Rhinolophus ferrumequinum: one gene and its partner. The protein of the gene in region 2 purifies or fractionates together with the protein of the main gene of each other region. This does not show direct contact. Links are inferred from orthologs where the notes say so. Each region holds a gene or a part of one and is shown on either strand. Other genes may lie near its edges. The genes, in order: KPNA3 and MECP2.

What was found.
Region 1: the proteins of MECP2 (region 2) and KPNA3 purify together in Homo sapiens (affinity purification with mass spectrometry; 3 studies listed by BioGRID and IntAct, counting the BioPlex papers as one, with this or other methods). This does not show direct contact. The link is inferred for Rhinolophus ferrumequinum from reciprocal best matches to the Homo sapiens genes MECP2 and KPNA3.

The regions. Positions count from the first base shown.
Region 1 is NC_046287.1:87,814,982-87,830,623, reverse strand, and holds the start of KPNA3 (importin subunit alpha-4), read right to left. Parts: upstream 6,704-15,642; 5' UTR 6,689-6,703; coding exon 6,633-6,688; exon of another isoform or gene 6,619-6,632; intron 1-6,618. UniProt on the Homo sapiens protein: Functions in nuclear protein import as an adapter protein for nuclear receptor KPNB1. Binds specifically and directly to substrates containing either a simple or bipartite NLS motif.
Region 2 is NC_046284.1:6,359,714-6,375,586, reverse strand, and holds the start of MECP2 (methyl-CpG-binding protein 2), read right to left. Parts: upstream 5,900-15,873; 5' UTR 5,805-5,899; coding exon 5,743-5,804; intron 830-5,742; exon of another isoform or gene 732-829; coding exon of another isoform or gene 706-731; intron 1-705. UniProt on the Homo sapiens protein: Chromosomal protein that binds to methylated DNA. It can bind specifically to a single methyl-CpG pair. It is not influenced by sequences flanking the methyl-CpGs.

The DNA of each region.
Region 1 (15,642 bases), on a different chromosome or scaffold from region 2:
AGTGCTTACTTTATTCCATCCACTGTACCAAGAAGTAAGCAATGGAGATACATTGTTTTTGCCCTCAAAAAGCACACAAACTAGTAGGAGAGAGATAAAACGTAATTAAAATGTGTTGTAACTACAATGAGAAAAATATACTCAGAGTTCTTCCAGGAATGAAGACGGTACCTAACTCAACCTGGGAGGAGGAGGGGATTCAGAAAGATTTCTCCGATCTACACCCAGAGTTGAGTATTTAAGAGGGTTAGGAAGTCAGCCCGGCAAGCAGAGGCAGGGAAGGCTATTCCAGTCAGCAGGATAGCCCTGAGAATAGAAATAGCATTGGCAAGCAGAGGAGGGCAGGAGTCCAGATTATGTATAAGCATATAAGAAGTTCAGCGTCGCTCGAGTTTAAAGGGGCTAGGGCAGGTGGGAGGTGGGGTTACCCTGGAGAAATATAATCAGGTATCAGGCTCACTGAAAAAAAAAAATCTCATAAATTGAAGGAAGAACACCACTTTGGAGGCAACTTTCAAACTGCCAGGTGATAAGTAACAAGGCCGAAAGTAGGCTGGAGGCAGAGGAATAGAGGCAGGGCAGAGACAGCACAGAGACTTAAGCTACATGACTGGCATCCGACTGAATGTGGAAGATGAGGAAGAAGTCCAAGAAGCCTCTCAAGTTGCAAGTTCAGGTCACAGTTAAAATGATGATGCCATAAACAGAAAGAAAGAAAAAATAAAGGCAGAACATAGCTTTAAACACTCTGAGCATAAATTTAAACACTTGATGTGCTGCTCATGGGAAAAATTTCTAGCAGATGATTAAAACAGATTTAAACCGCCCGCCCCACTCCACTGAACCCCCCAGTTAAAACTAAGGGGGCTGCTGATGTGGGCAAGAGGAACAGTCTATAGGAGTCACGGACAGAATCCCGAGATACGCCCACACTCAATGGGTAGGAAAAAGAGTTGGCAAAGCCAACTAAAAAAAGAGTAATCAATGAGCTAGCAGGACCCGGAAAGATTATATATACTGTTAATGAATTCAAGAAAAGATCATTACAGTATATCTGCCATATGACATATAGATTCCTGAAAATTTTCAGGAAGAAAGAGGGAAATACATCAAGACAGTTGGCGCCATAAGCACCTTTATGACAGAACGTGCGGTTGGACGAGGCCGAGAGGCAGAATACGGGTGAATGGGCAACGCACACACTGCTGGGCTTGCTGTGTTCAACTGTGTTTCAATACTTCAACTGTGTCTGCCTTCAAATGCTGTTACTTGGGAGTGCGAAACAGTTAACATGCTGGTAAGAATCAAACATGAACATGAATTTTGCATTAACTAAAATGATTCCTCTTTACCAGTCAATTATGAATTAGTTCACGTTACAGAAATACATTATAGCAAAAAGAGATTGTCACAGGAGGGCTAGGCAACAGTATCAATGCCTTGGAGTCAACACGGAAAGAAACAATATGGTACTTTCGCTCCCAAATGCAGAGTGCTTTCAAGTATATTCTCTAGTCTCACTTCTCAAAGAGTATTCAATTTTATGTATCGGTCACTAAATGACCGAATGTCCAAACCCTCAGTGAGATTCTTCAGAGCCAATATACTTTAACAGCTATTCACACATAGAATTTGTGGCACGTCACAGCAACTGATCCCAAGACAAAGGGAAATTTACTTAGGACAGCAATAAATACAGAAGGAAAAGAAAAGGAACTGATAGAACTAAGTATGTTATTAGTCAACCAAGAAAGGCCCTATGGAGAGCTTCTGAAGGGTGTTTTTGAATGACATGATGTGGCAGAATTGTAATCTTGGTGTTCCAGAGATACACAAAGGACTCTGAATTGAGAGAGGGTTTGAGAGAGTGAGCCCCACTAAACCGATAGCAAAAGACAGTATATAGGAGAACAGCATGTACCATCATGGAGGGGAAACCGTGTTGGTTACTTCACCATCTCAAGTACTTTACCATGGCTGGCACAAAGGAGACGTAAGGAAGGGTGGTTGGTGAGACAGAAAAGGTAGGGCCTTTTGTGGAATTATGTGCGGCATGCTAAGAACTTTTAATTTTATCCTGAAGGCAATGGGAATGATCTTACCAGGAATGTTACACGAAAAGATTTCAGGAAGATCAATCCACGAGATACACTGGGGTAGGACGATACCAGATAGGAAAACCGGACACACTATCACGCTTCCATGGGTGACAATGACAGGGGTCTACACTAGGGCAGTGGTAGTCAGGTTGGTGACAGAGGTGAAAATATGATGGCTCTTCAGATGCCTAATACAGAAAAGTGACGGGGGAAAGGAGGGAGTCAAGGACAAAGTTTTAAGCTTGAATCATTTGATAGTACCACTTACCAACAGAGGTTCCAGAGAGAAGAAAGTTTGGTAGTGCTAGCTGAATTTGCAAATGAGAAAATATATAAAAATACCTACTATTAGAGACGAAAGCATAAAGTTTAAGCATTAAGCCCAAGAGTATGGGTTACTATTTTTCATTGAAACCAACTAACTGGCTCTCCTTACTAATAAGGAAAGTTTGTAAGAATAAAAAGAAGAAAAAAAAAGGCAATAAATCAAATGATAAATAGGATGTCAAAAATTTTTATAAGCAAGGTTTTAAAATACCAAAACAGGGTTTTCTGTGATGTAGTCAAGACTTCTTAAATATTTTCCCCATTAATTAACTTGCAGATGTGCTTCATACAGGTCGTCTTAGGCTCCACTCAGTGGAGACAGTACAGCACAGGGAGCAGTTCTGGCTTTAGTGTCATGCTCCTTCACTGTAAGTCTAGGCTCTGACACTTAACTCCCCTGTGACTTAGGGCCAGGTACTTCAGAATTGTAGGCCTCAAGTTTCTTCAGCAGTACATGCGGATAATAATAGTACCTACTTCATAGGATTATTGTGAGGACTGAATAAGTAATACATATAAAGCACTTGAGGTACACTGTAAACACTCACTAAGTGTTAAGATTTTTAAAATAATAATTATAGTTACTGTTACTGATGAAAATGTCACATCCTTGAGGTATACAGGTGCAAGAAAAAGAAAAGCTGACCTGGATGGCAGTTACCTGAATGTTTGAGTTGTAAGTATTCATTAAATGGAACATTTCTGCTTTGTGTACTTTTCTATAAATAATTTGAAGTTTTAAATGTTTTTTAAAAGGAAAAAAGCTTAAGAACCAATGCCTTACATGAAAATAAAATTATTTTCACGATGTGTCCCCTAGTTTTAGCTACAAAATCCACTTCTCTTCCCCAAGCTCCAAACTGCTATCAGTGCTAATGACTCCCTCCCCTACCTCTATCCGTCACCCTCAGGACAGCCTTTATCCCCTTTGTCTCCTGTGAGCTTCACACAGAAGAGGACGAGAAAGGAAGAGGAGGAGATGCAAATCCTCATTCCAAGTTATGACCATGACTATCCCCAGTCTCAGTTTTTTGGAAAATTCCTCATTGCATACAGGATAACAGCTCCAATGGCTCCAGAATTAATTCTACATTTATTATTGCCACTACCTTTTTCCATTGCTCTAATCATGTTACACCTTCTAACTCTCCTCTGAAATAAATTCCTACAGCTCTCCCGATCAAGAAGTTTCCAAGCAACTCTTTGCTACAGTCATATTCTCAGACTACCACGGGCCATCTGAAGTCTCATCTCTTCACTCCTTAACCTAATCTCTCTTCTTTTTCACCTGGATCTTTATTCACTAATCTCTCATGTGCCGTTCAAGTTTGGTACATATTTCCTGTAAAATTCACCAACCTCTCTTCTATGAAGCCATTCCCGACTGAATATGAAATTACTTTCTCAACCCTCTCCCCACTCACAATTCTCCGACTTAACTCTATATATTTTTTTTTTTAGAAAATGTTATTTATTATATGTAAGCAGCACATAGCAACCTTTGTCTATCCTATATGTGAAAGGTAAAAACGGTACCTCAGCAAAGTATACCTCACTGTTTGGAAACAGCCTAATAATCAGAACTACTTAGTCACAGAGCTACATTGTAGTGTAAGTTTCTAATGTAGTCTAGTTTCTAATGGGTAAGACTAAATTAGGTGTGGTATCTAGTCTTAGCTATACCTAAACCCACAGTAAAGGAACTTGATCAGCTTCAACCGCAGTTCACCCTTCAGTCACATCTCTAGCACTCCCTTCTCTATCAGCAGTCCTACTGCGTTCTCCTGGTCTCAATTACTGCTCCCTCAAGTCTGGAATGCCTCTTCCTCGCCCTCTCCCTTTCTCTGGCCAACTGTCTTTCATCCTTCAGGATCTACTCACTCCCATTCATCCACTAGGAATCAACCAGAACTTCTCCCTTGACTGCTCAACACCAAGTTAGGATCTTCTTACGCATTCTCAGAATATACTTAGTGATGTACTGTATTGTAATTATCAGTTTACTTTTCTATCACTTTTACTGAACTATAAACTCCTTGAGGTACAGACTGAAATTTATTCCCTTTTGTATCCCCAAGACCTGACTGTATTAGATACCCAATAGACAATTAGTGAATGAATGTTCATACCCACTCTGGGACCTTGTGCAGGCTACACAGGCATGCTTGAGTTTGCCCATCTAAAGTACTTTCCTCCTATAAAGTGGGTATAATGCTATACCTAGCTCATAAAATTGTTATTAGGATTAAATGAGGTATCATGAAGCTCTCAGTAGTGTCTATCACATAGAACTACCATTTGAATGTCTGCTATTTCATGCCTTAGTTACTCCAATATATGCTGGGAAATGTAATGTTGTTGTGACCAACATTTTCAGGCTAAAAGGTTTAGCAATCATGCCTGTAGAAGTCATTGGTTACATTCTGGTCATCAGCAAATATTTATTATACACCTATTACGTGCAGGAGTCCTTACTAGGTATCACTGAGATCCCAGAACACAATAGAGGCAAATAATAAGACAAAAACCTGTACTAATATCCAAGAGAGGGAAGAATGTTATTAGTTCTTTTGTACAAACAATATGGGTATTTGTCAGACTACATAAGTTCTGCTTTATAATAGGGGAAAGCTTCAAGAACAATTACTGATAGCAAAAGTTCAAAATTAACTGCTATCATCACGTGGACTAATAATTGGAGGCAGTTCCAAAATTTCTTGTTGCTATTCCTAAATTTCACTTTTGCTTAGAAGTATTTTTCACACACACACACACAAACACTTAACCATGACCAGAAGACAGATGACCTCTAGTTGTCTCATTCAAATGGGAATTCCACAGTATTTCCTTAGGTTTTTCCATTTAGTATTAATTGTGTAGCTCTGGAAAAATGGCCTGAGTTTTTTTTTGTTTTTCTACAAAACAGAACGCTGGATGGTAAATTTTCCCCAACACTTCTCTTTAAGAGGATAAAATGTACACTTCTTATTCACACTGTCCCTTTAACAAGAACTACAAAACTGCAAACCATGTCACCTGGTATTCGAAAAGGAGCTTGTGGACTTAAAACCACTTTTCCCTTAACAAATTCAGAGGTCAGAGTCCCAGTGAAGTTTGTGCATTATACTACGTTGCTTTTAGTGGCTGCAGAGAGACCTCTAGCGCTGCCTCAATAAGCCGAGTTTGCAAATAGTACCTGCTAATGTCACCTTAATGAGACAATGGCAACATGCTGTGTAGCAACGAACTGAGTGACCACATTAATGTTTACAGTTTTGCAACCACATGGAAATTCTACCAGCTTGGAGCAAGAGATATTTACACGGCCGTATGAACCTATGTATCCAATTTATTTCAGTAAAACATGTCAAGGAAATTATCCAGTGCACACCCCCACTACAAGTAAGAAATGCTAAGAAAACAGGTCCGGTGAGCGGAGGTCGGAACAACGTCGCTTCCAAAGCCTCAACACAATAGATGGTAAACTATTGTCCACCTTCAGCTTGCTTCCAAATGCCCGCAGTAACAGGAGTGTGGGCTGGAACAGCTCAGCACGACTGGTCCAAAGGACAGCACTGGAATATAAGAAAACGGTCCTGGCGCATCCTACCCTCCCCCATCCACCACCCTCAAACAAGTCAGTCACCCGGCTGGTCCCCACCCCCCTCTGCGGGCCGCCACCGCCCGCCTGGGCCCGGCTGGCAGAAAGTAGGCGCGGAGACCGGCAGAGACAGGCTCCATGTGCGGCAGCGCGGGAGGCACCAAGGAGGCTGCGCCGGCGGAGGTTTCACCGGCAACCGGTGCTAGCTGCGGCCGCCCCTTCGGCGGCGCGATCGACAGACCTGGGCGGCAGCATCCCCGGCCCGCGAGGCCCTAGCCGCGGACCCCGCCTCAGCTCCACATCCCTTCCTCACAGACAGCAGGCCGCGCCCGCGTGACGGGGCCGAAAACCCCGGCATTTCCCGGTCCCCCGCGCCGGCAGCTTCGGAGGGTGGCTACAGCCGGCCCGCGTATCCGTCGCCCGCTCCGCCCAGCCCTGGGCCGCGCTGATGGGAGGCGGCGGCCAACTCCGACCCACCGCGAGCCGGCGAGAGCCAGCCCGGCGCCGGCCCCCCGCCCCTTCCCGCCACCGCGGGGCCGGCGCGGCCAGACGGGCGAGCCGGGCGGGCCCAGACCGCGGAAGCACACTCACTTCCACATCGCGGCCCCTTGTTCTTAAAGCTCTTGATGCGGTGGTTCTCCAAGCCGGGGTTCTCGGCCATGGTTGCGCGCGGCTCCAGCGGCGGCTACTCCTGCGGCTGCGGCGGCGGCGGCGAGTCTCGGTGCGGGAGGGGGAGGAGGGGGAGCGCGGGAGGGGGAAGGGAGGGGGAGGGGGAGAGGAGAGCACGTTCCGTGACGCCTCCGAGCGCGAGGTGGCAGCAGCGCCGGGGGAGGCGCTGGCCGACTGCCGGGCGGGGCGGGAACCGCGCTGAAGAACCGCGCGCTCCCGGGTTGGCTGGGGTCACGTGCCCAGGGTCGCCCCGGGCCTGGACGCTCGCCCTGCTGTAAGTGCCAGGGGTTTTCGGGATGACCCCCCGCCCCCCACAGCAAGGCCTCCCCACAACCCCTCAGTGCTACAAGTCTTGTGCCAGCAATGGAGCCAGACTTGGCGGCTTTTACTGCCCCGCCCCAAACCCCGAGCTGTGGACGCAAACTACAGTTCCCAACATGCCAGGCTCCGGCGGTCTAATGCTCCTGGCCTTGACAGAACCTGAAGGCCGGGAATCCTAAGCGCGCGGCTTTCCGCGCGGCGCGCCCGGAGAGCCCGGGCCGCAAAGCTCCGCCCCAAAGACCGCCTTTGGGCGGGGGAAGTGGGAGGAGCTTCCCCGGAGATTGGGCATCTTGTGCCCTATTGGGAGAGAGGGGGCGGGGCTTCTCTGGAGTCTCCTGAAATAGCATCCACCCTCAATGGCTGGTCTTTTGCCCTGCTTTGGTTTTATAAATAGCTTTTATTTCCACCTGACATGTACACATGTATGTATATATGTTTTGTATGTGTGTGTTACCTGGCATCCGCACGGGAATTGAGTTCAGTGAGAAGCAGGGGCATTGGCTGGTTTATTGCTGAATCCCTCGCGTCGAAACAGTGCTTGGCTCGTGCATACTCAATAAATACTTTGAACAAATTAGTGTTCTAGCGCCTATCGGTTTCTTCATCATCCTTCAAGCCCGGTTCTCCAACTTTCACTCTGGCAGCTCCTGCATTTCAGTGCCCCCAACACCTCTTGTTCTGCCACCACACGTAGTCTTAGCTTTCAGGAAGCAGTCAAGCCCTGGTCGGCAGACTCCCATCTGGCTTCTCTGTTTAGTGTCATAGGAGGGCCGGTCAAGGGAAATTTGGATCCATACTACTAATAGAGAGTTGCTTTCTGGAGCAGGTGAGCTTCTTTGGTTATATGTGAAAGAATTCAGTTTCAGAATCTCTAGCAGAGAGAAGCAGGTATTTCGATGGTTATAATATAATTCAATTGACACTGGGGTTATTCAAAGATTGGTAGAAACATAACCATAAAGAGGTTAAAGAAGACATTCTTTCAAAGCAAAGGGGCCTTAAAGAGCCAGAGGTCCAGGGGTCATGAATTCAGAGTCATTTGGTGGCTGAACTTTGGGACATTTGTTTTATGAGTGGTGGAGCGTGGCCTGTTGATAGACACAGTCCCATTTAAAGGCTTCAGACCACTGTTGCCATGTCGGACTGTGGGCCAGTCTTGCCAAGCTCCAATTTTTCAAGGAAAACCAAAGCTGAGTTATTTTTTTTCATTTTTAAATGTCGATTCACATTTCTTTTCTGCATTTCACTGAATAAGTCACTTGAGAACTCCAGGCCCTCACTATGAAATATCTGATCCCAGTCCAACCGCTCGTTTAAAGGGGAGAATACACACACACACACCTAAAGCTTAGAATAAATGGATTAGCATTACTTCAACTATAGTTCTTAAGGCAATTAAAGTTGTGTGTTTGAAGCTCTTCCCAAACGGGAGAGAAAAACTTCCAGACTGTTGTTCAATCTCTATTATAACTTATCAAGGCATTCTTTTTTCAGGTTATTTTACCCCCTCTACCACTTCTCTTCATCCTATTTGCTGTTATCCAGTGTGTAAGTGTTTCATCATTTTAGAGTTTTAGACATATTTAGTGAGCACTTACCAGATGTCAGTCATTGCCCTCACACCAGGATATATTTGTAAACAAGACAGCCTGGTTCCTGCCTCTGCATAGCTTTGTGTCTATCAGAGTAGACAGGCAATAAAACGAGTTCTCACCCCAAAAGTGTGGTGAGTGTCAAGAAACAGGAAGGAAGCTCAAGACTCATAGCAAGGAGATCTTTGTAACATGATGATTCCTGTGACTCCTAACATAGGAGGATAAGACTGCAAATGGATGTCTATATACTTGTATCACATATTTAAGTATTTAGAAGTTACAGGTCAAGCTTACAAAGTCTAATTTTTTTTTTGACATTGACAAATGAATGTTCTTTACAACCTGGATGTCTGGGTTTGAATTTAAATTTCCTGACTTCTTGGACTTCTGCTTCAGGGTGTGGTGGTACAAAGAGGCCTGGAAGCCACCTCCCAGCCCACTTTTTTGTTCCCCTTCCGTCTCCTGGCTCCATCCCACACTGGAATAGACCTTAAGAACATATATGTATACCCTTACCCACAAGGTTCATGTCCTGCCTCTCGCTACCAAAGCTCTATTTCCATCCCCCTCTCTGCCTCAAGAGATGCCCCTTGGCCATTGCTCAGGCCTGGAGTGTGCAAAGCGGTAGCCTCATGAGCCCCCAGGAAGATGGACTCGAGAAAGCGGTCTGGGAAGATCCTGAAAGCAGGCTTGACCATTTGAGCAGGAATCCCAGGGCCCCGGTACCCAGAGCTGGGCCTTGAGGCACAGGTTCTAGTGAATGTGACCTGGTGGCCCCATGAACTCCCCACGGGGTGGGGTACATCAGGAGAGAGCCAGAGTGAAGTCCTCTAAAGGGTAGGGTCAAGATCAGGGGCCCCTCTTGCCTGGGTCTAATGCAATAACTTTTACTCTTTGCCATTTTCCCTAGTGACTTCAACATACACACATCTGCTACTTTGGCCTCAGAGTCTCCCCATATTCTTAACTCCACCAAATTTCTACCACTTGTAGCTCCCACCAGGCTTTGGAGGCCTTAATGTCTGAGAAATGACACCTCCAGTGACTCAGGTTTGGGCTTCTCATTGTTAGCAACCATCCCTTTTCCCTCACTCTAGTCTTCACCTTTGCCCTAAAACTTCTGACAACTGTTCTAAATGGAGTTTTCCATATATATACATATATATATATATATATATATATATATATATATATATATATATATATATATAATTTTTCTAATCCACCATCTTGGACCTCCTCTCCCAAACATATTTTGAGTGTCCATCACATGCTAAGCATTGTATTCATTAGGCACTTCTATTAAGGGACAGGGGAGTGCTGAGCAGAGCAGAAACAGAAAGGAAGGGCCCTCTGAGTGGTCAAACTCTTCTTCCTCTGACTCACTAAACCCACCTTCCCAGCGGACAGGCAAGTGGCAGTATGCAGAGAAGGCAACAAAATCAACAGATGCCAAAAGGAGCTCATGATTTTCCTCCCCAGTCAGCTCCTTCTGCAAATTCACCAACTCAGTTAATAGCCTAACCATTCTTCCAGGGACTCCACTCAAGCTTGGAGCCATCTTTACTGCCGCCCTCTCTCTCAACTCCCTCACCTAGTCTCCATATTAATTCGCCATTCAACGCTCCCAGAATCCAGCTTTCTTCCCATGCCCCTCACAAGTCTAGTTAATGCCTCCTAACCGATTCCCTTGCTTCCTCTATCCTCTCCACAAAAATCTGATTCACCTCTCCAGATCTTCCTGATTTTATCTCTTCTCCTCATATTCAATATATCTCTTCCCCTCCACCATTGTCTGTCAAATCATTTCTAAATCCTCGGTCTGATAGTTAAGATTATGTGTGACCCAGCCACAGTGCAATACACTCTTCTTATTTCTGATTCCCCCACACATAGCTTGTGCTTTATCTTACGTGGTCTATCACCTTTCCCAAATATGTCCTAACCTTTCCAGCCTTCATAGCTTTCCCGTTTGATTTACCTAGAAAGCCCTGGCCCTATCTTCCTGTCAAAATCGGTCCCTCTTTAAATACTCAGGCCATGAGGTCACCTTCTCCGTGAAGCTTTCCCAGCACGGTACAGTGGAGGGACCTACAGAATCTGAACACTCAGACCCTACGGCTGACTTCCTACCATAGCAAGCCCAGGCAAGTCATTCCCTGAATTGTCGTCGTATCTACAAATGAGAAATTTGAATCGCTGGGTTATTGTGAAAATCAAGTTTTAAAATGCATGTAAAAGTGCTTTGAAATTACTATATTAATATTAGTTGTATCTTTCCAACCAGGATATCTTTTTCTTCTGAACCTCAGAAGAACTTACCTACTGTTTTGTATTCCTGCAATTTATGTACAGTCTTTTATCTCTCACTCACCTACAAACCCTTGAAATGGCTTGTACACATTTGTATTCCCCAGCCTTGAATAACTGGATCCAACATATGTTTTCTGAATGAACTGCTTCCTTCCCTCATGATCACGTTTTGGCTATTCATGACTGTCTAAGAGCATCTGAAGCAAAAGGCAAGCACAAAAAATTGAAGAAAATGGCATTCAAGTTCATCAACCCAACTACCTAGCAGTGCTCCTAAAAACTTGGGTGATAAATAAATCTAAATAATAAGAGTTTTCATTTACTGAATACCTACTATGTGCCAGATGTTTACATACATTATCTCTAATTCTCCAGGGAACGCTGCCTGGTTGGGATGGTCATCTCCATCTCTCTCTGGGACAGGTGGGGCTTGAGGCTCTGGTTTGAAGGCCTGGAAGGTTCTGTGATGCCAACAGGAGCAATGGGAGCAACAAGTCCAAAGAAAGACAAGTGGTTTCTAGTGTGGCCAATGTCTTAGACAGTGGTGGTGAAGATCTCCAGCTTCCCCAAAGAACTAATACAGCCCTTAGGGGTTCTAGGAAAGCAAATTCTCCTCCCCAAGGGCTGTCCCCTCTCCAGGGAGCATCAGCCATGTAAATAGTTGTGCCCAGCAGAGCAACCATCTCATGACCTATGACAGTCAGTAGCAGTAGACACAGCATTGTGGCAGTAAGATGAAAAGTCAGAGAGGAAGAACCTGATAAACTCTCAGAAATAACTGGGGACAGCTAGAGGAGGGCCAGTGTCTGGCCGTTGAACACTTATTAGTAATACAGATAAGGTGACTTCATTTTGTAGTAATGGGCTGACCTAGCCTAGGACACACACATTATACTTCCAATATCATTCTCAAATAATCAGAATATAATAAAATGAACAATATTAAAATTGTAGTAAGAATACTTTAGTTATAAAAAGCATAATTCAATAATTCAGAATATACTTAGAGTACATTGCTATGTCTCAAGGTCATGATCCTGGACCTTAGTTATAACTTTACAATATTCTAGATATTGAACTATATGGTATCCTAAAGATGAGCACTGTCTTGGAAGTTTAGTGACTTGCTGGTTCTTTAGTAACAAGCGATGTGTCCTTGAACAGGTTATTTTGCCTTCTAAGTCACAAGTGCCTCACCTAGAGAATGAGCAGGTTGGACTGGGTGATCTCTGTGTCTCCTTCCTCAGAGGTAATTCTACGAATCTCTGAAATTGTCTAGCCAGCCCAGCAGCATCCCTTTTCCTAGCTCTCTCTATTTCACAAATTAGAAATCCAAAGATGGTAATAATCATAACTGCCAGAGCGACTAAAAGCTGAGTGTCCAGTCCCTCACGGCCCTTCAGATTTTCCAGAGAATCCCACTATGCACGACACGCCAGGTCTGCCCTCTCTCAAAGGCATGAGGCCACCAAATCACTCCCTAACCAAAGTTTCACTCTCTCAGAGTTATTCATCTCAGAGAAGAAATACTTTATTCACATTAAGGTCTAAACAACCTTATTACGCCATGTGAACTCCAGTGGATGGAATGTCTGGTGTATCTAACCTATTATTAACATCCGTCAGCTCCTCCCAACACCAGAAAACAAAACACAGCCCTTTGGCATCCAATTGCAGCTGATCCCTGCTGGAAGTTATTTTGAGAAAACTAGACTTAATGGGAAGTGACTTCTTTGAATGAATACCATACTTGGTATCTGTTTCCGTGTCATCTTCTCCAATAACCATGAGCATCCAGAGGCAAGTATTTGTGTCTGACTCACCATTGTATCGCTGTGTCTACAGTGGTACTTGGTACCTAGAGGAGCCGCAATGTATGTTGGATAGATGAATAAATACCTAAACTCAAACTCATATAGAGAAGAAACATTAAACTGACCAGTTGGGGGGGAATCCATTAAAATGGTATAGTAAAACTGAGGAGCACATTTCTTCATGGCATAAAAAAAATTATGGTGAGGACAGGGATTATGGTTATAAAATAATAATAAAAATAATAATAACAATAATAATAAATAACTGTTGCATGTGCACATGTTCCAGGAGCTATGCTGAATTCTTACTTTGATTACTTCATTTAATTCTCACAATATTATCAGGTAGAATCTATTTTTATCCCCATTTAATAGATGAAGAGTGTGAGGCAAAAAAACATTAATTAACTTTTGCATGTTCAAGAGGAGACAGGGTCCAGAAAATCTGATTCCAGGAAAGTTGGTCCCCTGTTTGTAATTTGTTTTGCTCAGGGTAGATGCACAGAGATTGGGCAGGAGTAATTCTACAGCCTGGAGCTGGGGCGTCTTCAGGATCTGCAGTTTACCCATATCCTGCAGGACCTACCAGGTGCCCCATTCTGGCCCACGGCACATGGAAACAGCCTCTCGATCTAGTGTAAACAAAAGTTTCCACAGGAGGTGAAGCTATATTCAACTGTAAAAAAAAGAAGAAAAAGCCTAGAAAGGAAAATAGCCTACCAAGAAAGGAAGAATTAAACAAGTGTGGAAAGCTAATCTCTACTGAAAGGAGATTTTGCAGTCAAGTCAGCAGGGCTGGGCGATGACCTAGCCAGACAAACCACTAAATCAGAGGTCAGACAAAAAAGGGCCTATCATCTAGAGTTCTATTAAGTAGGCATCTGTGTATCGTTTGCATATCACTGTTTGTAGTAGACGTAGTCTGTTTATTAATATGAAGCATTAAAGATTCCAGCTTGTAAATATTCAACTCTAAAGGCATTCATGGAAAACAAGATAACCAGACATCTGAAAGTAGACATCAAAAAAATTGGTTAATTAGTTTGATTGTAAACGTACTCCTCTTCCCCTGCTACTTGAGGGATTTGCGATTCCCTATTTGAAAATGCCTAGAGAACTGAATCTTGTAGTAAGGATACTGTTTGGCACAATTTGTTTTTCCTTTTTTCAAATTGCTATGTCTCTTATAATCAACATTGCCAATGTATTAATAATCCCTAAGTAAAATATACAATAGAATTTTTCCAAAAGAAGTTTTTCATGCCTAAATTTTATGAGCCTCTTAACTTTGAGGTCTATCTTCCTTTAAATTCTGCAATTTAAATTAAGTTTGATTTGGATAAAATGTTTTTTTTTTCTCCAGCTGCTTCTTCATATTTTCTCTTTGATATATGCAGATATTCTACACATGAGATCATAGTGGCTTGAGTCTTTAGAGACCACACAATGTGATGTCCAACAGCTGTGCAGCCACTAGCCACATGTGGTTATTCAATTTTAATTTTAACTAAAATTAAAAATTGATTTCCCTAGCCACATTAGTCTTATGTCAAGTACTCAATAGCCACCATATTGTGGCTACCATATTGAACTGCAGAGATATAGAACATTACCACAGAAAGTCCTTGGGACAGCACTGCCTTAGAAAGGACAGAGGTTTAGCAATTCCCATCTCTTGATAGACTTGCGACCACAGGAATTTTCTTAAACTTTCAAAGCTTCAGTTATTTAAACAATAGAGATACAAATACCTACACCTATAAAGTAGTCAGTACAATGCCCTGCACATTTTAATTACTTAGTAAAACTATTATTCTTGCTTAGAGATAAAAAATTCAAGCTTCAGGGGCCAGCCCGGTGGCTCAAGCGGTTGGAGCACGTCCTCTCAACCACAAGGTTGCTAGTTGGACTCCCGCAAGGGATGGTGGGCTGCGGCCCCTGCAACTAACAATGACAACTGGACCTGGAGCTGAGCTGCGCCCTCCACAACTAAGATTGAAAGGACAACAACTTGACTTGGAAAAAAATCCTGGAAGTACACACTGTTCCCCAATAAAGTCCTGTTCCCCTTCCCCAATAAAATCTTTAAAAAACAAACATTCAAGCTTTGGAGACTCAAATTAGACAGCATAATAAATATTTTATTTATACCATGAGTACTCAATAAATCTTGCTGGCTACCCAAAAAGATTAAATTACATTTAAAATTAAAAAACATCATAGGACATTTACGTATTTTTGTTTCTTTATTTATATCGTTAGGAGAAAAACAACTTGAATTACCCTGGAGAAACCTTAGACTCAGCTGTTTAAACCCAAAAACTGACCCAGGAGATTTCTGATTCCCAAACCACACCTGAAATTTAAGTCAGGAACATGTTCAGTAAGTATATTTGTACAAGAAATATAGGTTTGACTTGCAGAGCAATGAGGCAAAATTCATATTCCCCCCACCCTTGGAGATAAAACTTAACGCAAGTTACACATCCCAGAACTTTTGAAAGTGCTTAAACTTATCTAAGTATCTCTCCTGCCCCGCCCCCCCGCCCCCCCCCCCCCCCCCCCCCCGCCCCCCGCCCGTTTCAGATCAACATGGAGCCATTTGTAACAGCATCCCAAACTGAGAGAGCTGTGGCTCATGTGCCCACAGACTTTAATCCCTGCTACTCTCACAGAGGGACACATTGCAGTTAGGAATGCCAGCAGCCAGAGCCAAGATAATTCCAGACGCACAGAACGATTGTTCTATCAATCACAACTACACAAAACAACCCAAACAAAAATAATCAGAAGAAGCTATGAGTAAGCTACAAGTCACCATGATATGAATTGCTAACATCATATGTACTTGGAAATTCCAGTTTTTCTAGGCTTCTCAAAAAAAAAAAAAAAAAGAGAGAGAG
Region 2 (15,873 bases):
CCAAAGTAGCCAAAAGTGCGGCCAATAAAGCACCTGAGTGTCAGACCTCGAATGGCTTGGATCCCCAGCGTTTCAAAAGGCATTCATTCTGCTCTAAGAGTCTCAAGAGCCAGACGTGCGTCTGGGTGCTGCTCTCTGTAGTGCCCGTGGGAGGAGTGCAGCAAGCACATGCCATTAGCCATGGGCTCCACTGTTCTGTGACAGCTTTCAGGAGGCCATCGTTCTAGGGGACCACACACCGGTCCCCGGATCTGAAAGTGCGTGGTACCACTGCTCACTAACGGTGACCAGGAAGTTATTTACCCAAAACGAAAGCAAACAAAGCGCTCCGCTGAAGACCACTGGGCCACAGCAGCAGCGGCAGGTGAAGAGCTCAGTCAAAGCACTCTCAGCTCAGCTGACCTGCTTCAAGGTGAACTGAAGTTGCAGATCACCAGTTCCGGCTCTAATCTGACGCCCGCCCCCAGATCACGCTGCGGCTACCAAGTAACCCTACCCAAACTGACCTTTCAGGGCTCAGGGAAGTGACTTTTTTTTATTATATGGCACAGTTTGGCACAGTTATGTCTTTAGTCTTTGGGGTACTTTTATACTGTCCAAGAGTAGTATATCTTGTTTTTTTTTCCTTTTTTTTTTTTTTTTTTTTTAAAAACAGATGGCCAAACCAGGACATATACTAAAAAAAAAAAAAGGAAGGTTACTTACCTGAGCCCTAACATTCCAGCTACCATGGAATCCTGTTGGAGCTGGTCTACAGAAGCAAGATGTATTCTGGGGAGTCACATGTCACATCAAAGCAGGAACTGGTGAGTCTGTATTTTTATGGAGCCTAAAACAAAGAAAATCGTAAGTTGAAAGCCCCCATTGTGCTGCACGACCTTTTTCCCAGGGCTATTTGGGACATTTTGAAGATAAACATATAGACAAAGTACTATGCTATTTCCCGGCTTACCTAGCTAGAAACAAAGGATAAACTGCAAATTACTGGCACATAACACACAGTGCTAAAATAAAGGAAAGATTCATGCATGTTAGAATCGACACTATGACAGGTCTTGCCTCCTCTGACGGACTCTGTGACACTATAAAGCGTACCGTTAGTGGTGATCTCGGATAAGTATTTCTTCTACCACGTCATACAGAAATACTCGGGGAGAGAATACATGTTCAAGAGAACATGCAGCATTAAAATGTCATCCCAAAAAGAACATGTGAAATCCAGAGGCAAAGTCTCCCTTCTTTATCAAGCAGCTGAAGCTGCAACGAGCCGCTGTAACATCGTGGAAAGGGGCTTTAACCCTGAGAGAAAGAAGCAGCACCAGTGGACACCAAGTGCCCCGGGAGATCCAAAGCCATCCTCCAAAAGTCTGTCTCAGAGCAATCACTTTTAAGCTTCTCAGATCAGCAAGTCGCCAAGTTCAACAGACTGAGTTATTAATCTGACAGTTTCTCTTTTGCTTTTGAGTACATATTCAAAAAGGACTTTTGTCATTACATTTTTCATCATCAAGATAACCACTATTTCCTTGTTAAAACCTAAACTGGCCTATATAAGCTAATCTCTAATACCTCGCTGGCCCAAGAGGAGCACTTTTATCTTTAGACTAAAAAAAGCCTAGCGTGTACAACTTAGAGAATATTCACACAAATAATTACTTGTGTAATCAAACTCAGAGGAAGGGCAACACCAACCAAGTCTTTTACTTACAGCTGGTCTATAACGAGCAGGATAGTTCCTAGAATTATCTACTGAGGTGCAGTGAGGCCTTATAATTCTCTTAAACAGTCGAGTCACAGAATGCTTTGAAATCCCAAAGTCAAGGTAACAGTGTTACTCAGTTAGCCATTAGGTGGGTGCAAAAGTAACTGCAGTTTTTGCAACTATTCTTAACCTTTTAAACCACAATTACTTTTGCACCAACTTAATATATAATAAAAATCATACTGGTCTCCTGGCTGGGAGGCCCTGGAAAAGCCACAGCTTTTCATAGCCACAGTTGTTTTTCACTTGTAAACTGACGGAGCTGGACTAAGGTTCCTTCCAACTCTGAAAGTTTAAGATCTCTGATTAACTCAAGGAGTTTATGGAGAAGTAAAAGAGCCAGCGAAAGAGAGCAGTTAGGTGAAAACCCAATAAAGTAGTGATTTGCAGGTCCATATATATAACAGCCCCGGTTCTTAGGCAAGGAAGAGAAGTGACCACTTCCTCAGGCTTGCTCCCGAGTCCAGACTTCTGCAGTAACAGCAAAACAGCTACAGTGAGGACACATCCATATGCCAGCAGACCCAACACAGGTGTGCCTTGAAAAAGCTGTAAAGGCCAAGGCCTCTAATGGAATGGCCACCGCCTTCTCCTGGTATAGGAGTGGGGGTGCCCTGCCTGCCCCCAAATTCCCATTTCCATTCAGATCCCCTACACACCTATCTACCATCAAAGTGGTAGAACCAAGTATTTAAGCAATAGCATGCAAATCAAGTTTTCAATAAGTTCAAAGGTTCCTTGCAAGAGAAAGGCAGAAGAGGGTACATAAAGGCAGAAGAGCGCAACCTTTGTGTGAGTCCAAGGAAGAGGAACCCATGTACGTGTGTCCTAACCAAAACAAGGGAGAAGCACAGTGGTGACAATGGCAGTTTGCCCAGAGAGGGCTGTTACAGAAGCACTGAGGACAAGGTCCTTCCGTTGGAGTGACAGTAATACTCTACCCAAGAAAAACGGTTGTGTCTGTTGGCCACAGGAGGCTGGTCTGCACGCATGTCACCATAACAGAGGGCAGTGGAAACAAGCAGGTGTCCTGCCACACTCCCTGCAACTCGGCGCCAGTCTAGGGCTGTTCTTTTACCCCCCGTGCGTTTAAAACACTAGTTACTACAAATGTCAAACATTTTCTGTTATTCTCTCACGGACTCTCAGGCAGCCTTCCAACAAACTGCTCTGAGCCAATTAAAAGATTTCTTCTGATATTCGTTGTTAGAAAAGATGACTGGTTGCAAGACACATCATTTATCATGCAAACAGTCCCAGGCAGGTACCTTAGCAGCGAAAACGGGCCTGAGACGGGAACCAACAATTTTAACGCTGCTCTTCTTTATTGTAAGTTAAAGAAGAGAGTTTCTCATTTGATCTCCACGTGGGGGAAGGAGTATTTGGGTGGGGGGCAACATCATATGGGACTCATCTAGCCAGCTGTGCTGTCCAACTCCACAGCTCGCCTCCGTACCCCACTAGATCCGGCCACTCAGCGGCAGGGCAGGCAGGGAAACAATGGCTCTGACTGGAAATTACAAATAGAATGCAAAACTGTATTCTAACCCCCACCCCACCCCCCAGTACACAAACAGCCCAAAAGTTGGGAGTACGGTTTGACGGCATCATGCTTTGCCAGGTGAAACAAAGACCTGGTACTCGGTTTAAAGCATTCCAGGCAAATTTGTAACAGTAAGAAATAGAACAGCATGATAGGCCAATATGAGCAAGAAAGCCATAGAAGGTCTCTTCAAGCTGTTAGGACATGCTTACTTCACACACCACCAGGAACTTCGCAGATAAACTATATTCTGGAAGCTACCTGTGCTGTTTAAAGGGCTAGGGGTATGACAAACAGCTGGCTGGAGGGCATCTGAAGAGGCAAACACATTGCCAACGACGGCAAAACAAAGCAAAGCCCTTGTCCAGTGACATCTCAGGTTCAGATGTACAAACCTTGGAATCTTTGTCAAGTGAGGCTTGCGTGTCTGTGTTCTGGACGGGATGTACCTCAGTGACAGGCCACTTAGCTGACATGTACGAATGGGTGCTCTGTGGCGACTTACTTAATCAACTGTACTTCTACTAGATTGATTGTGCCCTTTAAAGTTCTGACATGTGTGGGTAAGGAAATAAAAGTGTTTTCTAGGCTTCCCCACTGGGATTTGAAGTGCAAGTCCTAAAAAGCCCACAAATAAGCCCATTTCCCCGAAATCCCTGGGGGAAATTCCCAGAAGACCTAAAAAAATCCAGACCCTGTATTTTCAATAAGGATCTAGCATATTTCAAGAGACTCAAGAGGCCAGGCTCAATCTCACTGTTAACTGCAATTACTGAGATCCAGATGAAAATTCCAGCCATGAAACCCAAATTTCTCCTCTAGAGTACTAACTGCCATTAACAATGAATTTTACTACCAAGGCCTGACTACGCTTCGTTTTTCTAGCATGACCAAATGCCTGTAACTTGGGAGAGTCCTACCAAGTCTAAACTACTTCGCATCATCACACGCCGGAAGTCTAAGCCACTTAGCATCAGCGCACGCCGGTAGGGATGGTTCCAGGATCACCAACCACCCCCTGAATTTGATCCTACCGTCTCACAACTTGGGGTACTGATCCCACACAGCAGACACAACATGTGAATGGCTCCACAGAGCCCATTCCTGTTCCTGGAAAAATAACCAGAAGCACACATCTGCCTGACCATGAGTCAGGAATATCAATTTTGTGGTTGAGCCCATTTCTGCTGTGACCAATCCACACGGAACACACAACAGAAACGACTGCCACAGAGGTATTCCAGAGCAAGCTTCCCCCTCTCCGAGCCATACTTAGCAATATCGCAAAGGGTCTCTCCTCTGTGAGAGCACTCTTTTTAGACTCTTCACAATGACCTTAAGTTTTCAGCGCAAAACCACAGACACATTGCCACACCATGTAAAAGTCACCTGAGTTTCAGTGTGGGCGAGTCAGGCATAACCAAACTAAAAAGAAAATAAACTTTCAGAGACAATTGACAGGAACCACAGCGATGCGATGAACTTGCCCCATATGGTACTGGTGATCTAGAGCAGGACGCGTCCAGGACTACGGGAGCCCGTTACATACGGTGTCCCACTCCACTTATGTAACTGGAAGATCGCCGGCGGAGGGGGGAGGATGGGAGGACGCTCATATTTCTGAGGCCACCGCAACCCCAAAGACCCTGGAGGCGCACTCCCACTGAAGAGCCTCAGGTGCTGCCGGACAAACAGTCCCCTATCCACGGCTCCCGATGGGAACTAGAACAGCCTCTTTCGGATGAGTTGTGGGACCAGGAACACAATGTCTAGTCCCTTTTGTGGGTGGACAATAAATTCCCACCTACTTGTTCCTGCTGGATGGGAAAGGAGATGGTGGACCGACTCGCTCGCAATGGGGGCAGAAAGTCACGGAATGGGCGAGAAGGAGGGGGAGGCAGAGCCTGAAGATGGGGGGTGAGAGCGCAGGAGCCCTTGTGGCGCACTCTCCCGACGGGAGGCGGACTGCGCACGCGCGCCGGTGGGGGGGGCCGAGTAACGGGAGAGGGGGCGCGCGAGGGAGGGAGAGGGGAGAGCGCGATCCAGGGAGAGGCTGGGGCCGCGGGCGCGCGACGGCGCCGCGGGCCCGAAGCCCCGAGAAGGGCACGACGCGCGCGCAGCCCAGACAAGCGAAGCCCCAGCGACAGCGGCGCCCGTGGGGCCGGGGGCCGGGATGCGCGCTGAAGGCGGGAGAGAGCGGGGCGCCAGGCGAAGGTGGCCCGGGGAGGCCGGGGCGAGGACGGTCACCCGCAAGTGCGGGTGACGGGCCGAGGGGGGAGCCGTCACCGGCGGCGGCGGGAGGGGGAGGGTAAAGAGGAGGGACGCCATCCGCCAGCCGTGTCGTCCGACCCCGCGGGCCCCTCCCGCGCCACGTCCCGCCCCTACCCCCCGCCCCTCGGCAAGGGTCCCCGCCCGCGGCCGCGGTGGCCCCACTCACAGTCTCTCCTCCTCGCCTCCTCCTCCTCCTCCGCTTGGCGCGGCAGCGGCGGCGGCGGCCATTTTCCGGACGGCTTTTACCACAGCCCTCTCTCCGAGAGGAGGGAGCGCGCGCGCCGCCGACGCCGGGACTCCGCACGGTCGACGTCGCGCCCCGCCCTCCCGGCCGGACTGCGCGCAGCTGCACCTGCGCGCCCGCGTCCCGCCCCCGGCGCTGCCGCGAGCCCGTCTGCCATTGGGTGCGGCGATCGGGGCGGGGCGGGTCCTCCGCGGCGGAGCCACCAATTGGCGATAGTTTGTGTCCATTCTGGCCAGGGAAAAGGGGGCGGACCCCCTGCCCAGCTGCCGATTGGCTGCCGTTGGCCGTCATTTGGGAAAAAGAGGCGGCTTGGGCACTGAGGGGCTGGTTTAGTGGGAGGAATTTGAATATTAAGGATTAATGGGCCCTTGCGGATGCTGGGGCAAGTGAAGGCCTAGCCTTCGCACTCCTGTTTGCGCGCGGCCCTCCTGGGCGGTTGATGCGCTGTCCGCAAACACACCAAGTAAGCTGCAATAAGTGTTTCACTGCACCTGCATTTTCTTATTGTCACCACCTTCAGTAGAAGCAACAAAGTTGCCTGCCCTGGAGCCTGACGTTCCAGCTGAAAGACCTTGGTTTAAGAGGCCTATCCATTGCATTCTTTCATCTGAGCCTGCCACGAGCCAGACTCTCATAGGGGCAGGGAATAAACTGACAACAAATCACAGCTCTGGCCTTCGTGAAACTGTGGTGGGGGAAAAGGGGACATGACAAGGCTGCATGAGACCCGTCATTGTTGGATCAGATGGTTTGGTGGAGGTGTGAAGAAGGCAGTGGAAGCACAGAGGAAGCAGCACTAAGCTCTACCTGGAGGGGAAAGGGAAGATTTCCTAGAAGAGGTGACTTGGGAGCTAAGAGCCAGCAATTCTGTTTTGAAAAAATAAGAGTATAAGAAAAGTTTTAGTCAGTGGGGTGTTCAAGATAAGACTGCTTGACAAGGCGAACTTACTCTGATTCCAGCCATCCTCCAATTCATCAAATGCTCCTTGTACAAGTCCTGTGATTAACAAGGAATCTTCTAATTCTGATTTGGCTCCCCCCCCCACCGCCATTCATTTACTAAACAGCTGCTATATGCCAGGCACTGTTCCAGGCTCTGGAAGCACAGAACTGAATAAGACAGCAAACTAACATTCTTATGTGAAATATTCATACTAAACATACAAATAACTATGTAACATAATGTAACATAGTGATAAAGGCTTTGAGGTAGATAAAACAAGGGTGAATAGGTGCTATTTAGATATCCACAGGCTTTTGCCTTCATTTTATTCCCCCATGTAGATATCTGGGGAGAGAACATTTCAGAAAAGTAAAAAGGCCCTGAGGAGAGACTATGCCCAGCGTGTTAGGGACTAACAAAGAAGCTTATGTGGCTAGAGAGGGATGGAGTCACTATGGGAAATGGGAGCTTATTCTGAGCTGAGAAGCCCTTGGAGAATTTTGAACTGGGAGTTGACACCATCAAATCTATGTTGTAGGTGCAGTGTGGAGAACTATCCATGCTGGGACAAAACTAGGAGCAAGAGCCCAGTCAGGAGCTCCTGACAACAATCTAGGAGAGGTAAGAGTGGATTTAACTAGGATGGTAGCAGTGGAGGTTCTGAAAAGTTGTGAGATTCAAGCCATGTTTTCAAAATCAGGCAGAAAGGATTGGCTGTAGGGTATAAAGACAGAAGAAACAAGTATGATTCCTGAGTTTTTGTCCTGAGCAACTGAGTAAATGGGTGCCTTTCACCACGATTGGGCTCCCCTGTAGAAAACGCACGTTTTTATAGGTACAGATCAAGAATTCTGTTTTGGCCATGTTAAGCTTAGAGTGCCTATTAGACGTGCAAGTGGAGCTGTTGAGCAGGCTCTTGGGTCAACAAGCAGTCAACAAGTCAACAAGCTGAATATTTAACTCAAGAAGCTATAAAAGGAACAACATAGTAAAAATGGAGAAAATAGAAGAAAAATAACAATGAGCAGAAATTGATGAAGCAGAAACAAGTGATAGATTGAGTACATCAAAAGCTGATTCTTCGACAAGCTGAAAAACAAAAGCCAACCCTCTAAGAAGTGACATGTAAGGAGAGAAGAGACCAGCCCCTTATAATAAAAATGAAAAGGAGCCACAGCCTACAGATAGAATAGATTATACAATAGATGGTAGATAAATTGGAAAATATAAACAAAATGAATAAATTCCTAGAAAAGCACAGCTTACCAAAATTGACTCTAGAAACAAAACCTGGATAGACCCTCGATAACCACAAAGGAATTGATTATGTATTTTAAAAATCTCTCCCCCCAAAAAAAATAATAAAACAAGCTCAGAGAGTTTTACAGACGAGTTCTACCAAATCTTTAATGAGTGGGTAATTCCAATCATAAACAGAAAAAAAAATGAAGAAATCTCTCCAAACTTGTGAAACTAATATAACTATTATAACGAGCGAATAACAGCATGATACTGGATGTGGAAATAGATGTAAAACTTCTAGACAAATAAACTGAATCTGGCGGTATATAATAATATAACCAAGTTGAGTTTTATCCTAAGAATGCAAGGATGGTTTAAAATTAGAAAATCAACTTTAACTAATTTAAGGGGAACAAATTATATGATTATTTCAATAGATGCAGAAAAAGCATTTGATAAAATTCAACAGCCACTTATGATAAAAAAAAACCCCAACAACTTAGAGAACTATGAATAGAAGGGAACTTTCTTGATCTAATCAAAGGTATCTATCAAAAAAAACTTAGAACAAACATTGTATTTAATGGTGTGAAGTAGAAACAAAGCAAGAAACAGAACAAGATCTACAGGGCAACATCACTTGTGTAAAATAAAACACGTGTGCTTCTCCTTTCATTCTCTTTTAAACTTCATCCTTGGAGTTCACAGCAAGGAGAAAGACCAATTAATTCCAAGTTGATTCCCTGCTTGTTAGAATGCAGACATAGAGATCCAGCCAAGAGCTGGGAAATTTAATGGGGGAAAAACATTCAACTTACTCTAGCTACAAAAATTATAAAGCAGTTGGGAACAAACGTCATAAGAAATGCCAAAACACCTACATTAAAAAACACAATAAAGATGTCAATTCTTCACAAATTAATCTGGAAATTCTTTGCCTGAATCAAAATCCAGGAGTTTTTATATACTATAACAAGTTAATGCTAGGTTGGGAAGAGTAAGTGTACAAGGCTAGAAGTCAAGACATTTTTGAAAGAAAAAAAACCAATGGAGAGCGTCTAGGGTCTTGCTAAATCCCTTAGTTTGAATAAACAGGACTTAAATGGTACAATTTCACTCTCGCCATTGAAAAGTAGAAAAATATACTGGAGTGTAAAGTATTTACTAGTGAATTAAAAATGGGCCATTTAAAAAATGGGACTGTAGAAGATAAAAACCAGGAAAACGTCATAGAGATAGCAACCACGACAGAAAACCAACAACCAGAAGGATTTTTTCGATATGGAAGATAGAGTTCAAACTTCTCCATCTGTCTAAAAATCCCTTCGGCTAATAGAAAATATATATTTTCATGAGAAGGGTAAAACAGACTGCACAAAATTTTAGAACATCCCAGATGATATCACAAAAAATAAGTAAATAAAAACTACAAATTTGTTTCAAACACTATGGGACATTTCCTAAAGTTGCTTATACATTAGACCCCTCAAAAAAAAAAAAACAATCTCAGTAAATTCCGAAATGTAGAAATCCTGCAGTTCAATCTCTGGCAACAATACAATAAAATTAAAACTTAGGAACAAGAGAATGGGCAAAAGTAAAACAAAACAAAACAAAACAAAACAAAAAAACACTCTCCATTTGGAACTTTTAAAACAGGCTTCAAAATAACTCTTTGGTTAAAGAGGAAACAAAAACTAAAATTATAAACTCTTCAGCAGTGACCAACAATGAGAGCCATACACATTAAAACCTATGCTGTGTGGCCAAAATGGTCATCTAGAAAAATTAATAACCTTAAGTACATTTATTAGAAAATAGATGAGAAATGAATTGATTCTGATACATCATGCTTGCACTCATGTGCGTGCGCATATACACAGATATACAAACACGGTTTTCCTTCTTTACCCTTAGAAACTTACCGCAAGAAAAGTATTGATTAACAGAAAGGAATAAACCCATCAGAGTGAAGAGAATGTGGTGAGGATAGGAAGTTATCCTCGATGGACAGATTTCAACATTCATTTTGGAAAGCAGATGAGAATTAGTTGATGGATAAAACAGGCAGGAAAAATCCAGCCTAAAATTGACAAGGGAACTACAGAGGAAGTGGGAGCCAGTTTATCAGATATAACACCAGAGAGTAGGCTCCGAATCAGCAGGCATATGGTGGAAGGCAATAGAATTAAATGGGACTGAACACTTGGGGATTGATTGAAGGGCCCAATACAGAATGACTGCACCAGTTGGAACCTCCTCTCCTTCAACAGACAGCTGAGGGGACAACCGGTGTAAACCTGCAGCGAAAATACCTGACAGCTCTCTAATGAAATTGAATGAAATGTCTGTAGAGAGCTAGGGCTTCCAGCATGGGTATTGGTAACCCCTGAACAATTTTCTCCTCATTCCAGCATTTGTGGGATATAAACTCTGTTCCTCAGCTCCCTACCCTACACAAAAGAGTCATAGCAGGAAAATGGAACTATTTGCCCTAAAGCAGAATAAATCCACAATAATTATCCAGTCCTTCTTTATTAAATATTAACCAACCACTAGGGATCATCATAAATTTGAATAAGGCCTGCAACATTAAAAATAGTCAAGTGTAACCTATAGGGGGAAAATGAACTTGGAGAAATCCCAGAAAATGCAGGGAACATATGGGGAAAAAATTAATTTGATTAGCTTATTCAGAGACCTGACAGAAAATATTGCATCCAAAAGACAAGAACAGAATATTGTGTAAAAGGAGTGGGAAACAAGAAAGAGTTAATGGAGGGGCTAGCCCCGTGGCTCAGGCGGTTGGAGCTCCGTGCTCCTAACTCTGAAGGCTGCTGGTTCAATTCCCACATGGGCCAGTGGGCTCTCAACCACAAGGTCGCCAGTTTGATTCCTTGAGTCCCGCAAGGGATGGTGGGCTGTGCCCCCTGCAACTAGCAACGGCAACTGGACCTGGAGCTGAGCTGCACCCTCCACAACTAAGACTGAAAAGACAACAACTTGAAGTTGAACGGCACCCTCCACAACTAAGATTGAAAGGACAACAACTTGACTTGGAAAAAAGTCCTGGAAGTAGACACTATTCCCCCAATAAAGTCTTGTTCCCCTTCCCCAATAAAATCTTAAAAAAAAAAAGAATTAGTGGAAATTAAATGAGTATTGAAATTCCAATTTCAATAGAAATATTGAAAGATAAAACCAAAGAAGTCTCCCAGAAAACAAAACAAAACAATACAGACAAAAAGTATGAGAGAAAATATTAGGACTATGAAGAGTGATCTAAGAAGTCCAGAAAGCAACTAACAAGAATTTTTGAAAGGTAAAACCCAGAAAAAGGAATAGGAATAAAAATAAACAGTATCAGACTTCATAACAACACTGGATGATAAAAGATAATAGAACAACAATTAAAAAATAATAATAGGATAATGCTTTCAAAATTCCAAGAGAAAATGATTTTCAATTTAGGATTCTACACCAGCCAAAATACCCACCAAGTGTGACAATGGAATAAAACATTTTTAGATATGCAAGAACTAAGAAAATTTACCTCTCAGATATACTTTCTTAGGAAGCTACTTGAGGATGTTCTCCAGCAAAACAAAGGTGTAAGCCAAGAAAAAAGAAGATGTGGGATCCACAACACAGTGGATCTAATCCAGGAGAGCAGTGACAGGAAATAACAGGAATGCCAACTGGGCAGAAGGGCTGATTGGCAATCAATCCAGATTGGACTAAGAGAATGGCAGGCTCTGGGAGAAAGGACTCCAAGAATTTATTTATTTTTTTTAAGTGTGTGTGTATGTGAACTCAACATATTAGATGGTATGATTGGGAGTCTAAAGAAAACTGAATATGATGGTAATTAGTACAAGAAAATAAGGAAAAGAATTAGAAATAGCAAGGGGGAGAAAGTACTTCACAAGAAAGTTATGATCAAAATAAGAAGCCAGGTAAAATATATTATAATTTTACCAAGTGATAGTGTGTAAGAAAAGAGAATCCACTGGACCTTGATGTTAAGAAAATTCTCTTTTCAAACGGTCCAGAGATCATCACACTAGATTTATAAGAAGGAAATATAATCCTAGCATGCCTCTTCTTGATCTGGCATTACAAAATATTTACAGGAACATCATAATGTTAATTTTTGTCTTTGGTTTTCAACGTTTAGAGTCAACCCATGCACAAAACATGGAGGAATAGGTTTTTGTTACAGGATAGGACATAGCCCTCTTCCCCTTTTGTGTAGTAAAGGGTTAACTTAGCAGGCCTGGGTGTTCCTGAGGGTGGTCTTGGGAACCCCTGACACACCATATTTGATATTGATGCTGTATTTAGTTCTTTGTGATTTAAAACAATACACTCAAACCTCTTGTTCCATTAACTTTCAATAGTAACGTATCCTTGATCACTTGGTGTCAACTACACTTTACTTTCACGTTGTCAGAGTTAACATTTACATCCCATTGTGGTAAAGATGGAAATAGAATCACTAAGGGAGAGGTGAGAGAGTGGAGGAAGGGGGAACAAAAGCATATTGGGGTTTGAAGGGGCCCAATAAATAATATCCATTTTCTCCCTGAGTGTCATGGAACTTGACGATATGATTCTAAGGTTCTTCAGAGTAAATGCACAAGATGGGCCAAAAAAAATGTTGACTCAAGGGAAGACTTGTCTTACCAGCTATCCAAAGACACTCTGAAAAGACATTGATGTAAACAGTGCAGCTTTGGTGCCTAAAGGGACAAATGATCACTGAGTAGAGTCCCGAAGAAACCCAGATACAGTCTGGGCAGATCCCCCTTCTGCCTTGTCAGTAGAGCCCTGGATATACTAGTCTGGCTCCCACTCTTTTCTTGTATGATTCAGGAAGAAATCCTGCTGTGGTGAAGTGTGGTGGCTTGGTGACCTAGTTCTGGCCAATGAGAAGTTCAGGCAAATCCTCCAGGGGCTTCTGGGAAGCCGCAGCCCTTCTGCTCCTCCTGGACTGTGTTGGGTCTCAAGGTGACATCTGAATTGGTGGCAGTAGCTCAATCGGGCATCAGGGGTCTCTAGGAGAATTTTCTCTGTGCATAAGGATTCCCCTGCTGTAACTAGTACTTTTTCTGTTGCCTGGATCGCAAGTTGCTTATGACCCCGGGGGGCTTAAGGCCACCTCTGTGAGGTCTTGCGAGATTAGAGACTTCGTCAGTGTCTGATGTTATTTCCCAGTTTGGGGTTTTAACTTTGTGTTCTTTTTGTCTTCCCCTTGCTTAGGTTGGCTAATGTTTTATCTTCTTGTCTTATTTTTGGGTTCTCAAAGAACCAGTTTCGGAATTGATTTATTAGTTATCTGGTTTCTCTGTGTTCCAACTAGTAGGTACTTTCTGTTCGCATCATCCTTGTTTTTCAGATATTCTGAAATTTTTTCTTGGATTTTTTTCTTTTTTCTTTTTTTTTCTTTTTTTTAACCAAAGGCTTTTCTTTTAAGGGAGTTCTAAATTTTAAAGGTAGGCTTTTGTTTTCTTTTCTTTTCCATTTTTGTGTTAACATTCTACTCCAAGAATCCGTTCTAAATGTCGAACTATTACATTGTTGTGTATGTCTGAAACTAATTTTTTTAAAAAAGAATGCATTCTATATTATTTTCTCTTCTATTTTTTGAAATTTCTTGAGGACTCTTTCCTGCTTAATGTCTGGCGAGTGGTTCATTCATCACCTGCCTCTGCCATGATGCCGGCATGGGCTGTTCCTTCTTGTGGTCTCAAAATGGCTATTTTATCCATTAGGGTCCTCCCAGGAAAACAGAAAGCACTTCCATCGAGAACACTGAATGCCAGGAAAGAGGCCCCTAGGACCACTGGGAGTGTGATGGGGGTTAGTGAGGCAGCTTGAGGATCACGGGCAGGAAGTTGCTGCCGCCCCCAGGCTGGAGGGACGCGGGGAGAAGACGTAGAATCATGGAGGGCCTCAGTGGGAACTGCAGCTGCTGCTCCTGGGGCAGAGGGAGAGAGGCAATACTCTGGCTGCTGCCCTCCTCCACTCTCTAATCTCTTGCACCCGCTTCTCATGGTCAATCCCACCCTGAAACCAGAGGAGCCAGGAGCCTGGGAAAGGCCGGTAGTGAGGCCTTACTCTGCAGGGTGAGGGAAAGGTGAGGGATGGATCTGTGGACAAACAGGCCTGGGGCAGGCCCATCTATGGACTCTCTACTTTGAAAGACTAGGGAATTAGCAGACTTATCCTCCTTGTCCCCTCCCCTCCTTCCCTGCCCTCTCCTCCTCCAAACTTTTGTTTATATGATTACTTTTAGTTCTTCTAGTGGTTTTACTTATACCTTTAAATAACACATTGAAACTTTTACTACTTCGTTGGTCAACATTAGACCAGGTCTATTGATAAGAGCAATTTTGAGTAAAGGATAAGGAAATCAGCCTACTGGAACTTTCTCCCACCTATTCTCCCTCCACCCCTGATTTCATTCTCTGAGTTATTATTTCTGTATCTTCACAGTTCCGGACATTTCCATTCCATTTTGGAAGAGCAGCTCCACAGATGCTTGGCTTTTTCACGGTTCTTGATCTTCATGGCTTTAATGCTTGTCATTCTTCAGAACGCTGTTCCTCCATGGGTTATTAGACTTTGCCATCAAGCATTTTGGCATAGGTTGCAGAATGTTTCCTTCCAGATAATCACTCATTTCCAAAACGGGATAATTCCACTTGAACCAGTTACTGAAAACACCCCTCGGCCTACCAAACCCTGTGGGCCCAACACCCCAAGCCAAGGCTCACTGCTTTGTCCCTTAGATGTGCCAGTTAACGTGAACAGCCTGTGCACTCGCTGAACTCTTCAGAGAAGTGTCTGATCTCAGCAGTCGCCTTCTAAAATTCGTGGAAAAAGCAATATTAGTGTCTGACAAAGTAGAATTAAAAGAATAGTAAATGGTACCACGAAAGTATCATTTTATGTCAATAAGGAGAGCGCTTTACAATAAAAAAGTCACTGTAATGAATCTTTGTGAACTGAGCAGTACTCGTATTTCATTGAAGCAAAGAAAGCACAATTTGCTAGAAATATACGAAGAAGAAATGGGCAGAAATTTAACAGTTTTATTTTGGGGAGCAAAACAAAGACAAGGATACAAGTTGGTGTTTTATATCCTTCTGTGGGATGAACAGTCAGGTGCAGCTGCCAGAGGAGAGAGAGCAGAGGCCCTGAGAAACCGTTTATTATAATACATTCACTGGTCCTAGAAACAGTAGGCGTGTCAGGCAGGGCCACATGGGGAAGCCCCAGGGTGGTCAGGAGATGAGGAACAAGGGGAGGTTTAGGTCAGAGCTTTTATTGGGGTTTCCATGGGAAACGCACGTAGGACAGGGCAAACAGTGTAGGATTGGCTAGTTTGAATAGTCTCGGTGGGCTTTGAGCTGTAGGGGTGTATCTAGGTGCGTGGCACCTGGACCTGGCATGATGAAGGCAGAGGACTATTGCTTCCGGGATTGTAAGGGCCAGTGAGAGGAGGTATGGCACTGGACTGGTTAGTTTGCATATGAAAGACATGCTCCCTGGCTGGCCCCTTTGTTATTTGCTATTTCAGAGAATTGGCTAGCCCTGAGAAGGTAGTTTTAGGATGTGAAAACATCATACTATTCAGAAAACATTAAAATATTTGCAATACGGTTGGCTAAAACTATCATCCATGACATGTCGAACTATGTGTCGAACTGTGTACATTACAGAGAATCCATGTTTTTTAGTTCCAATGAGAAATTTGTGATTTCACAAAAAGTGATCATAGATTACGCTGCAAAGCATATTGGAATCGATCAATCTCTCAAGTGTCCCAGGCTCAGAGAAGCCTTCCCTACCCACTGCACCTG